Arabidopsis thaliana: one gene and its partner. The protein of the gene in region 2 interacts with the protein of the main gene of each other region in a pairwise test. Each region holds a gene or a part of one and is shown on either strand. Other genes may lie near its edges.

Evidence for each region.
Region 1: the proteins of AT1G31460 (region 2) and DAC interact in a two-hybrid assay, tested with the Arabidopsis thaliana proteins (one large-scale study listed by BioGRID).

The regions. Positions count from the first base shown.
Region 1 is NC_003074.8:6,140,378-6,146,391, reverse strand, and holds DAC (uncharacterized protein), read left to right. Parts: upstream 1-3,081; 5' UTR 3,082-3,145; coding exon 3,146-3,242; intron 3,243-3,337; coding exon 3,338-3,483; intron 3,484-3,572; coding exon 3,573-3,662; intron 3,663-3,760; coding exon 3,761-3,919; intron 3,920-4,004; coding exon 4,005-4,085; 3' UTR 4,086-4,267; downstream 4,268-6,014. Other genes in the region: AT3G17950 (uncharacterized protein), read right to left, coding at 13-81; AT3G17940 (Galactose mutarotase-like superfamily protein), read left to right, coding at 1,148-1,265, 1,359-1,408, 1,651-1,777, 1,874-1,981, 2,063-2,685; AT3G17920 (Outer arm dynein light chain 1 protein), read right to left, coding at 4,369-4,584, 4,660-4,820, 4,961-5,067, 5,154-5,279, 5,348-5,429, 5,530-5,603, 5,931-6,014.
Region 2 is NC_003070.9:11,259,415-11,265,981, forward strand, and holds AT1G31460 (vitellogenin-2 protein), read right to left. Parts: upstream 3,523-6,567; 5' UTR 3,197-3,522; coding exon 2,291-3,196; 3' UTR 2,029-2,290; downstream 1-2,028. Other genes in the region: AT1G31450 (Eukaryotic aspartyl protease family protein), read right to left, coding at 458-1,795; NFD4 (Major facilitator superfamily protein), read right to left, coding at 3,523-4,018, 4,100-4,935, 5,114-5,530.

The sequences.
Region 1 (6,014 bases), on a different chromosome or scaffold from region 2:
GCAGGAACTGACCTCAGTATCAAGATCGGAGGAAGAGACGGAGGAGATAGTTGGAGAAGATGGGACATGAGGATCTTGCATCTCTGTAATCGCTGGTTTCAAAGGGTTTGAAGATGTGGGAGATTGTGTCACTGAATTAAAACGAACGACGTCGGATTAGGGAGTTTCTTGATGAGAGGAAAAGGAAAGTGTTTTTGTGGATGGATAGGTGAAGAAGAAGAAAGTGACAAATGATTTGCTTTTTGAAATGATTGTGCTTCTTTAAGCTAAAGTCCTCTTGGCCATCTGTTACACTATTTCTTTCCATGTCTCAGAGAGCTTTGATATTTTTGATAAATTTGATTTAATTGTTTCTAGTTATGGGAATAATCAAAATCCTTTACAGAGACATTTTTTTTGTAAACTTTGGGTAAAAGCTGAGACATGTTGGATGGTAGCAAATTAAAATTTACGAAAAGAGGATAAATTACAACAAAGTAAGCTTTTATAGGTACTATTGATTTTTTCATAGGATACCTGAAAAAGGGTAGAGAAACTACATCTAAATTCACGCGAATACTCTGTTACGATCATGTATAGAGTTTTTTTTTGGGGTCAAACTGAATATGTTTAGAGTATATTTTATTTATTTTCTTGTTATCTGATGATATCTTTGTCTTTCTCTTATTGTCAAAAGCATATAATCCGACTTATCAAATTTTTTATTTTATAACTGACTAATCAAATATTTTTTTACTTAAAATATTATTGATAATTAGAAAATTAGATCCAAATTCTACATTTGTTCTTTTCTCTAATCTCTATAGTTTTGGATTTTAGTTGGTAACTTTTGAATTCCTGAAAGTAAATTTGGTAACTTTTGGGTAGTAATTTGATTTTCAAAAAGTTTAGAAATGCATTAAAGTGTAAAAAACGAAAAACAAAAACCCCCAAGATAAATAGTTTTTTGTTTGGGGGGTAAAAATGATAAATAGTTTGGGATGTGGATGACGTCAACATTGATCAGTTACGAGATTACGATTTTATAACTCTTTTAACCAAAGCTAATCACTTCACCCTCTGTTTTGTTTCTCCCCAATCAAAAATCTCAATCCCAATCACTTCGCTTCTAATCTTAAAGCCTTTAATTTAGTCTTCGAGCCCTCTAATGGCGGATCAGAGCAAAAACACTCCAGAGATCTTCGAGCTCAACAATGGCACCATGCAGGTCAAGATCTCAAACTACGGCACCACCATCACCTCTTTGTCTGTTCCCGACAAGAACGGTTTGTTCTCTTCTTCCTCCTTTCAATGATGATCTCTGTTTTGTCTCCAAATCCTAATCCTCTGATTATCGTCTTTGTTTTTCTTATTTGAAGGGAAACTGGGGGATGTAGTTCTCGGATTCGACTCGGTGGATCCATATGTGGTAATTTCTCTCGAATTCACCTAATCCTTGAACTGATCTCGACATAGATTCAATCAATCTGATCGAAACTCTAATCACTGCCTCTGGATCTCATGAATAGAGTCTGAATCATAATTTAAGAAATGTATATGGTCATTCATGTACCTTGTTGAATGACTTTGTGATGAACTATCAAAATAAGATGGACTTTGTAACAATGTTAATGAATATGTGTGTTTTATCTATGAATATGATTGTTACAGAAAGGGCTTGCACCATACTTTGGGTGCATTGTTGGTCGTGTGGCAAATCGGATCAAGGAGGGAAAATTCAGTCTCAATGGAGTTAACTACACTTTGCCTATCAACAAGCCTCCTAATAGTCTCCACGGTCTGTATAAACAATTCTCTTCTCTGTATACTTTCTCTATAACTTTCTGTGAACTAAATAGGATTTGGACCGTAAAATGTTACTCTATCTGTACAGGTGGTAACAAGGGTTTCGATAAGAAGATATGGGAAGTTGCAGGGCACAAGAGAGACGGCGAAAAACCTTTCATCACTTTCAAATATCACAGTGCCGATGGAGAAGAAGGTAATGACATATCCTTTCTCTAGCATTTGATTTCTGTGGGATTAGATTAGCTATATAATGTTTTGCGGTTCCCCTCCACAGGTTACCCTGGTGCGGTTTCTGTCACGGCGACATACACTCTCACGTCAGCCACGACAATGAGACTTGACATGGAAGCTGTTCCAGAGAACAAAGATACTCCCATCAACTTAGCTCAACATACATACTGGAACTTAGCAGGTCATGACTCAGGAAACATTCTAGACCATAAGATTCAGATATGGGGGTCTCATATCACGCCGGTTGACGAATACACAGTTCCTACAGGAGAGATCTTGCCTGTAAAGGGAACTCCTTTCGATTTCACTGAGGAGAAGCGGATAGGCGAGTCTATTGGAGAGGTTGGTATCGGATACGATCATAACTACGTGTTGGACTGTCCTGATCAAGAGAAGGAGGGGCTGAAACACGCAGCGAAGCTCAGTGATGCTGCTAGCTCAAGGGTACTGAACTTGTGGACCAATGTGCCGGGAATGCAGTTTTATACCGGGAACTATGTGAATGGAGTGGTTGGGAAAGGGAATGCGGTTTACGGGAAACATGCGGGTGTGTGCCTTGAGACGCAGGGATTCCCGAACGCGATTAACCAGTCGAATTTCCCGTCTGTTGTGGTTAAGGCTGGTGAGAAGTACAATCACACGATGCTGTTTGAGTTTTCAGCTTGAGTTTATAGATGGACGTTTTAGGTGTTAGATGATGGGAATAAAGGGCCGGTTCATTTGATTCACTGGGCTGGAAAAAGAGTGATTTTAATTTTATCTCTTTGGGGGAGAATAATAAAACCAAACTGTTTACATTATATTAAAGTTACTTTATTTTTTCATATCTTCTAAACATTTGGCCCATTTGTGAAATTGTGAATTGTGCAGCGAATGAATCTCCCATTGTTCACATGAACTTGGAAAAAAAGAGCAATTAGTGTATTTGAGTAATTCTGATGGCAATTATGTCTACACGCATGTCTTTTGGGCGGTGAGAAACACGCGCCACTAAAGAAGCAAAAGCCTATGGGCCCCAAAAAATATCAACCATCCATCTCTGTAATCTCTTCGTCCTCCCTTAAATTTTTGTTTCATTATTTTTTTCACTAGTAACCACGGCTTGTGTTGTGGCTTAAACACAGAAATGGCTTCTTTACCGTTCGGAGTTTCGAATCTATGCAGAAATCAGGAGGTTCTGTCTGCGTCTGTAAGGCTTCTTCCGGTTGGGCGACAAACCACAGGTTCTGTTCTCCCCCAATAATCGTTTTCGATAAAACTTAAGGATTTCAAGCTGAAGCGATTGTAAAACTCTCCTGTGTTTGTTGTGATGATGCAGGATTCGGAGCTGCGAAGAAAGTCTTATATAGATTCGAGGGACATAGATTGTCATCATCAGTAGAAAAGGGAGAGAAACAGAGAATGAGATGTAGAGTTAGCTCAAACTCTACTGAAACTGAAGACGATTCTGCTACAAAAACCAAGGTCTGCACTCCATCTCTTTGAATTTACATCATAATCTATCGTCGTAGTAGTCCTGAAGCAAACTCTGTTGTGAAATAATTTGGTTATAGACGACGCCGTTTGGTTACACGAGGAAGGATGTTATATTGATAGGAGTGGGAGTGACTGCACTTGGTATCGGGCTAGAGAGTGGACTTGAGGTAATTCTCATTATCTACATACTGATGATATCAAATGAATCTGTTATCTTTTTCTTTGTTCTTCTGAGTACTCATTTTGTGATAATGATATGGTGCAGTATGTGGGAGTTGATCCGTTGCAAGCGGGGAATGCAGTACAGCTGATACTGGTGCTTGGTTTGACTTTGGGTTGGATTTCGACTTATATCTTTAGAGTCGGTAACAAGGAGATGACTTATGCCCAGCAACTTCGTGACTACGAGTCTCAAGTCATGCAGGTTTCTGCTTTTTCGTTAATCTCTTTATCAGGGTTTATCTACTTTACCTAACATAAGTTTGGTTTGGTTGGTTGGTAATGAGCAGAAACGATTGGAGAGCTTATCGGAGGCAGAGTTAGAGGCATTGATGGCACAGGTTGATGAAGAGAAGACCAAGGTTGAGTAGGTTCCTCCATTGTGTTACTGTTACATCACCTGCAAAAGTTTGTAAAACGAAGAATAGCACAGGCTTTCAAAGTAAAAATCTAGATATTAATCTGATTTTCTTTCTTCTTCCTTGCTGTTTGTTGTATGAACGATACACACTAAAAATATACAAATCGAAGAATATTTTGGACACACCACAGGACCCTCAAGGGCTTTATACAAGATGAATCAAAACTCACGAACAAATTGAATCAAATGAATTTGAAGTTATGAACAAATGTCAAGTTCTAAATATTTACGGCTCATCTCTCACCCAAATGCCTTACGAACAATGGGAATTCTGTCGAATCTGGGTGAAGTCCATTTACTAGAGCCACAAATTTGGGTACACACTCAGGGCTGAGTAACTTGAGCTTCCATGTTACTGAATTCACTGTCCTCTTTTGGCTGCTTTGAAATGTGGAATCCTTCTGCTTGACCTTCAGTGACAAGCACGAGCTTCCTCTTGATTCAACAACCTGGATAACACCCCAATTTGCACATAAAAAACTGACATAAGCGAGAGAAAGGGAAAGAATAAACAAACTTGTTACCATCTCAAATATGTCGGAGATGGAGCAGCTTGAGTCAAGTGAGAAATATGGGGATGAAGAAGCATCATCTGTTGGCAGAAAACTCAGTTGCCTGAAGTCTTCATTGCATATGAAAAGATGTCCACCCGCCACAAAGAGTGACCGTGGAAGCCATGACACTTCTGTTCAGTTTAACACAAAAAAATTGATTAACATTATAGTTAATGATCAGTGCTGATACTGCTCGAATCAAATTACTTATAAGCTTGTCAAACCCTATTAAGAGAAATAAAGCTTCCTCATACAAGAGAGAATAATATACCTCCAAAAGTGCTGCTCTGAAAATGGAGAACAATATACTGGAATATACTCAGCTTCAAACCACTACATATTTCTTTCTCAAACAATTCCACTTGAACATTCTCCAAACTGCCATTTAAGTTTCAATACATCTCAAATCAGCAAACAGAAGAAGAATAGTAAAAGAGCTGGAGAAATAGATGATGATAGCTCACCTCTTCAAAGAAAATTTTGATTCTGTAACCTGATAATCCAAGAATTTTATGATATTGAGTAAAACTGTTGTTTTTTCAATGCTCGCCGTCATGAAAATGTACTCTGCATCCTCCCTAAAACGTAGCCTAAACCAGAAGGAAAGTGAGACATGGGCACATAATCAATTTTCAAAGCGGAGCCATGAAAAACTAACCTCACAACCTGAAGTCCTAGACCAACTGAGACATCTCGTATATCCCCGATTGTATGCGAACACAATAAACTTAAGCTGCTCTCTGCAGACACCAGGGATCAAGGAAAAGTAAATCAGTATCAACAGAACATAACACATTCGGACATAAAGAATAAGAGAAAGACAGGGAAGAGCAGTCTAACCTTGTAAATCAGTGGAGACACCCACGAGCAGCACATACAGTTTTTCTTGGCTACTCAGCAGCAACACTACTTCCCTGCATTTATAGAGTACTGTCAGGGGGAAAAGAAGAGCGCCATCCTTGTAAATGGCTTCTCAAGACAAATTTGTAGTTATAAAGTAAAGAGTATATTATTCATACATGTGAATTACAAGAGAACCGAGAACATCTCAATCTAATTCCATTGACCAGTTATTCCTTTTCAAATTGCATAAAGCCTACCAAACTAGAGAAGCACTACGCGACCTCAATAACCTCTTTTTTTTACTCAGCATGTTCCATCAAGTTTTAACTAAAGACAGAAGGGACTCAGGTTACTTTTTCTTTCACCTAAACCACAATAATAGATGGAACAAAACTTACCGTTGCTTATAGGTGGATTCTTGCTGTAGTATGCAATCACAACTAACGTAAATCCTACAAGTCTCATCATTGCTGGAATCTGAC
Region 2 (6,567 bases):
TAGTTTTTGGAATTAGTTTGATAACATTTTGCTGACCGATGATACCAACAACGGTTGTGTTTGGTATTTAAAACTTATTTTGAAAGCATGTTTAATAAAAACTTTGAATATCTGATATGGTTATATAGTATACAAATTTTTTTTAATATTTAAATGTATCAAAGCGGATATCCGCAAATATCACAAAAAATTCCGGATATTCGAAATTCCGGATATCCGGAAATTTTCGAAGCAAAGCAAATCACAAAATCAAGTATTCGTTAAAACGAATCGAATAACAAATATCACAATTTTTCCGGATATCTGCTTCGTGCCTAGACCTAAATATGGCTATTTGATTTTAGGAAGAAATTTAATTTAGTAAGTAGAGATATTATTTATACTGAATATTCATTACATTGCAATAATTATGAATATCAGATAATAAAAACGCTAGCTCTTAACGGCAACGTTTGCTTCATAAGTTCCCGGAGCAATCCATGCGTTGAAACGATACCGTTTTGGTCTCCAAGTCATAGCCAACAAGGAAATCCATTTGAACCATGTTTCCGTATATAGCAACTTCAGTTGTCGGAATCATACTCAAGCACACTGTATCTTCATTTAGTTTCACGAACGCGTTTATCGGACTCAGCTTCACGTCGGCGTTCGTGAAATGCATTGTTATCGCCGGCAAACCGATCTCTTTGTCTCCGGATTTGAAACAATGTGTTAAAAGCCCTTGTGGATCACTCACACGCTTTGCTCCGGTTACTGATTCTTCCACGGCCGTACCAAAGTCATCGTAAAATCCTGAGTCGAGAAGGGTAAGGGTTGTACCGGAATCGATTATGATGTTTCCGGTTCTCTTTGATGATTTCCCGTTTAATCCGTATCCTCCTCCGGTGTATGGAAGCTTGGTTTTGCCGACGGTGACTGCTTCGAGTGTCAAGAAATAGTAAGTCTCGGGGTCTTTTTGGATTAAGGGTGTAGTGAGCGTAGCGGAGTCTTTGCTTGGATTGGAAGGTATCGAGTTGGTTCCTAGGTTTATGACGCTTGTGCCGTTTGTTGTAGCTGCCGTGTGTGACAAGCAATACGAGAATTTCTTCCCTATGGAAGAACCAAGCTGGGAAACTAACGATAATGGACCACCTCCGAGTCCGATGATTCCGGATCCGGTTTCTTCGAATGTACCACCGTTGTTGTAGCCGCAACCAAAGACAGTACCGGGGAAAGAAACAGAGGAGCCAGAGGAAGAATCAATGGAGATTGTTTCGGTCGCAACATCTCCTTTGGTAAACGAATTATCTCCATAAGAGTAACGGTATTTGCAGATGTCTTTAGATTCGTCGCATCCTTCTTCGTGTTCGGACAAGGCTTGACAGGTTTTTGAATCGCAAGATTCTGTTTTGTAGGTGGAAGATTTCTTCTTGTCGAAGAGTGGACTGTTTTGTTTGTAACATTGTTGACATGGCTTACATTGGACCCAAGTTAGGTCACTTCCCGTGTCAGCAATGGCGAAAACTTTCGACGGTGGAGTACCGATTGAGATGGACATGAAGTATTCGCCGCCATTTGAGATTAAACCGGATTGGAGATCGGTTTTGGTTGTGAAACGGCGAGAACGTGAGATTGATCGGAGGAAAGCAGCGTTGAGACGGTCAGAGACAGTGTGGTGAGGGTTGTAGAGTGGAGAATGAGGAGAGTCACGGTGGATTAGCTCGACGGTTAAGTTCTCTCGGTTAGCTGAAGAATTGGAAGCAAAGAAGAAGCTGATGGCTAAGAGAGAACAGTAGAGAAAAGTTTTGGTTGCCATTTTTGGATGATTTGGTAAGTTTGTGGTGTAGACTTGTAGTGAGTCTGTGAGTGAAAGAGTGCAAGGGTTTATAAACAGCATGAAAGGGAACTTGAAAAGATTGAAACGGCAACGAGTTTGGCGACGTGGTGAGAATGTGATTGATAGATTAGCTTTAAATTTCATTAAGACTGCTAAGTTATTGAGAGGTTTAGTGGAGATGATTATTGATTTATTTTTAAAGAAAAAAACAGAGTCGTAGCATTAATCTTGTGAATTGGATCGTTCTGATTTTACAAAGTGTAACGTAAATTATAAATTTTCAACAAATTCTTAGGAAAGACTTGGAATTGAAATAATTAAGCTTAACAAAAATATAATACTACTTAGTTATGATTTATTTATATTTCTGGTTACATTTATATATCTATGAAGCATTTCTTCAAACCGGACTCAAAACTAAATAACCAAAACAACAAAACCAGATAAACCCAAATTGCACATTTCCCAAATCTCTCAATCATCAAAATCGAATCTAGCTGATGCATGTTTCGCCATTTTAATGATCTCAGCTGCTTCTTTCCTCATCTTCTGTTGTTCCTTAAGCGCTTTCTTCAACATTTTCCTTTGATCTTCCACTGGAAACGCATTCAAATCAGATAAAAACTCATCGAAATCAACGTTCCTCTCTCGACCAGAAGAGTAAGTAGCAGCACCAAATGATTTACAGTTTTTGAGATTCTTCTTGTTGGTTGTTGATTTTTTCGGTGAAGAACGCCAAATGGATCCGATGAGTTTCGACGGAGATAACTTATCGAACCATGACGACTTTGATTTCGGTTTCGATTTCTTTTCTGGTTCTGAATCTGTTGATGGTGGTGTAGCTAAATCGATTGACGATGATGAAGATGGTGATACGATTCTTCGTTTCTCTTTAGGAAGCTTCTTCTTCGTTTGTTGTTTCACTGGCGAGAGAATTTTACTCTCACTGATGTTTCCAGAATCTGAGAAATCTCCACTTCCATTAGAGACAAGCTCAGCTTGAGAACTCGATTTCAAATCCAGATCACGTTTTTTTCTCGAGAGATTACTCGAATCTTCATCAGATAAACTCACAGAGCCAGTTTTTTTACCTGGATTTCTTCGATTTCCTGAGAAATTCACATTCACGCTTTTGGAATGTGAGAGAGGCTTCTGCCTATTCATCGAAGAAGATGAAGATACCGGTTCGTGTCGTGGAGCAGCTGGAAGAGATTTGAGGCGACGGAAGCGAGATTCGAGATCATCTGGAAGAGTAGAATCGGTGAATCCAGAACAATTGATAGCAGCTACTTGCTCCAAATCAGAAAGCTCCTTCGCTTGCGAAATTAGCTCTTCCACTGCTGAATCGTCTGTATCTGAAAAATACCCAAAATCCGCCATTATCGATGAGATCAAGCTTCTTAGGGTTTATTTTTTGCTTTTTGGTGGAGACGAAAGAAATAAGAGTGAGAGAGAAAGAAAATGATAAAAGTCGTCACAACGGCTAATTCATGATTTTGTCAGTTACGTTGGCTCCGATTCTGTGCGCGTCAATTTTGATGACTAACCCACAAAATGTGTGATTAAGCTTTAATCTAATTACTTTATTAAAGACAATTTTAATTTAAGATTCTATTCATATAATATGTAAGCAAAAACTGGTGTCTTTCTCTCAATAAGTTCCACTAATTATCTTTTCTGTGGTTTCTTTGTGTTACAGATTTGATTTACAATGGATCAAGATCCTTGTACGATGATGTTAATGAAACCTTGTCTTGTTCAAGCCGGTGATAAACCGGTTTGGTTCGTATGTACAGTGACAGACTTGAGACGACGCCGAGGATAGACAAGCAACCCCAAAACACAAACGTTTTGAAGTAGCAATCTCTTCCGATGCAAACGATTGAGTCAGACACTATTGGTGTTATATCGGGGCTTGCGTTGGCTTCGTAAATGGAGGCAGCGATGTAACCGTATAAGAGTGAGCCGATTGGTATGTTTGTGATGAGAATGTTGTGGTTAACACCTACGCTATTGGGTCCAAAGAGATCAGATGTTATGGAGACTGCGGCTGCGAATATGAAACCTGAACTCAGACCGATTAATGCGGTTGCGGTCTGCAATGCTGTTTGTTGTGAGGATGATACCGCTAGTAAAAAGAAAGCGATTGGAGTTGGTAAGAGTGCGATTGCAAACCAGCCGGTTCTTGTTAAACGAAATCTCCTGCAAGATCCAATATTCTTGATGAGAATATGTTATTTCAATTTCACATTAAGACATTCCTTAATCTAAAATGAAACTTACTTGTGCATAAAATCTGGTGCGGCAGAGAGCAATCTACCGAAGAAGGAGAATGAAGAGTAGATTGTGACTAGTGTAGTAGAGTTTTGTCCCAAAGACTGAGCAATCTGTCCCAAATTGTTGCTGTAAACAAGGCCAATTGTGCCACCACAGAAATACGCAATGTAGTATAACCAAAACTCCAATCTACTTATGAGCAATCGAAACGAATGTTCATCACCGAGCCTCACTGTGTTCCCTTCCTTAGCAGTCCCCATATGTTCATACCCGGTTTTGCTGGAAACGGACGTTTTTTGGTTCTTGAGCTCATCTATGTTAAGCATAACATAGCCAGAGCTTTCATGGTTTAAACGAGCGTTAATGACCGGAAGAAAGTAATCCCGAGCATAAACGAGAAGAGGAGCACACAAGGGGAAAACCAGAAGGACGACAGCTCCAATGAAATTCAAACGCGCTGATGAAGTACTGGAACTAGATAGGAGAAGGTGGAAACTCGTAATGACAGCTAAAACATTCAAAATGGTAAACACATGGGAGTCATGTCTGCGGGAATCATAGTCCGGAGTAGTATCTAGAGACGGTTTAGTAAGAACTGGGTAAAGAGCAGCAAAGGAAACAACAAGGGGAACCAGAGAGTTCAGCAGAAGGTATAGATTGGACGACGACGGGTTAATTGCATTGAAAGCAAGGGAGTACAATGCTGCACTGATTCCATTGAAGCTTACCGTTAAAGATAAGGCGAGAGCACGATTGTTCGGGAAATGACGAATGCAGAGGATGAAACATGCTGTGTTGAACCAACAGATACTTAATCCAGCTAACAAGCAGCAGAGAAACACCTATCATGTTGAAAAGATTCAATTACTAAACCAAATCAAATGCAGTTCTCTCACGATTCTAACAAACTAATCTACCAATTCCACATTCAAATCAGATCCTTGAAGCAACAATATCTTAGTAAAAACTAACAAGAATTTCGTATGAATCTTTCGAATTCAAGTAGTTATATATATGTACCAGAGAATAAGGCAAAGTGATGATGTTGGTGATGACTAGCCACTGAACACCGTAACCAACAAATCCCATAGCCGCCGCAGCGAAAAGAACGACGGAGAGAGGGAAATAACCTAAAGCAATCCCAGACGACCATCCAAACGCTTTCCCCAAATCAGAAGCCACGGCGAGGTAATTTAACCTCACCTGAGAAATTCCGAGAACTGATTTGAGATGGGAAGAGTAAGCTGAGAAATCGAAGTTGGTTCCCGTCGATGCTTGGATCCAGATCGCTGCCACAAGAACAGTCCATTTCCGCCATCGACCGAACATGGTCCTGAGAGGCGGAAGATGTTTCCGGTGAAACTTTGTTTCTCCGTCGTCGAAGGAGGCTCGGTTAGGTCGGAGTTTATCTGAAACATCTCTGATACGAGGTCTCATATACAAAGGAAGATGATTGATGTTGACCGATGCTTGCAAAAAAGCGTTTAGTTGTTCATCTACCGCTTTTGATCTTTGTTCAATAAAAGGGATTTTGGGTTTTTGATGTTAATTTTTTTATTTTATTTTAACAAGTGTCGTATTTTAAATGTTTTAGGTAAAAATGGTTTAGTTGGTATTGATTTAGGCAACACTATTTATTTTGCTTTGAAGTGTAGAAAACGTAAACTGTCAAAATAAACGTAAATGAAAACAAAGAAGTGGTGAGAATTAAGGAATCTTGCACCTTAGACTAAGAATCAAGGACCATGTCAATATCATATGGTTTAGACCAACGAATTTCTTATTGGCAAAGCATTTAAATTTATTATAGTGGTTAAGATTGGTATGGTTATGAGGATGAGGTAGCACAAATGATGAACTTCTAAATTCTAACCATCCAAAAAGAAGTATTTTGAAGGTTTCAAAGCTACGATTCTTTTGGTAAGAATCTACGAAGGTGACCAACAAGTAAGTAACATAGAGCCTCATTAGATCCCAAATTTTGTAATCCTTTGGCTTTTGCTATACCATAATCGCAAGTATCTTCCTAAAAATCACTATCGGTGGAGTGATTAAGCTAAAATGGAGCTGTTAATTTATCATTTTCCATAATTCAAAACACACATGCTTGCTATCTTTAAATAACACACTATTGAAACAATTTTGGTAGATCAACACCAACACATTTTATTTTGACTTTTGGCAAATTTATCCTTCACTTGTAACAACAAGACAAATTGGTTCGTTTTTTTCGAAATTATGACTTGGCATCTACGTGGCAGTGGTTTAAGTAGATGACAGTACACGCAACCGCTGAAGCAAAGTTTCGTTGGGTTCTCTTCTCTCACGAATATTCTTCAATACCAACAAAACCAATTCAATTCGATTTCCCAGCTGTCACTCTTCTTTTTCAAACGACCTTTTTTTTTTAATTTGTTTCTTCTTCTTCTTTCTAATTCTCCTCTCGCGATTTAGCTTTATTCAAATCAAAAATC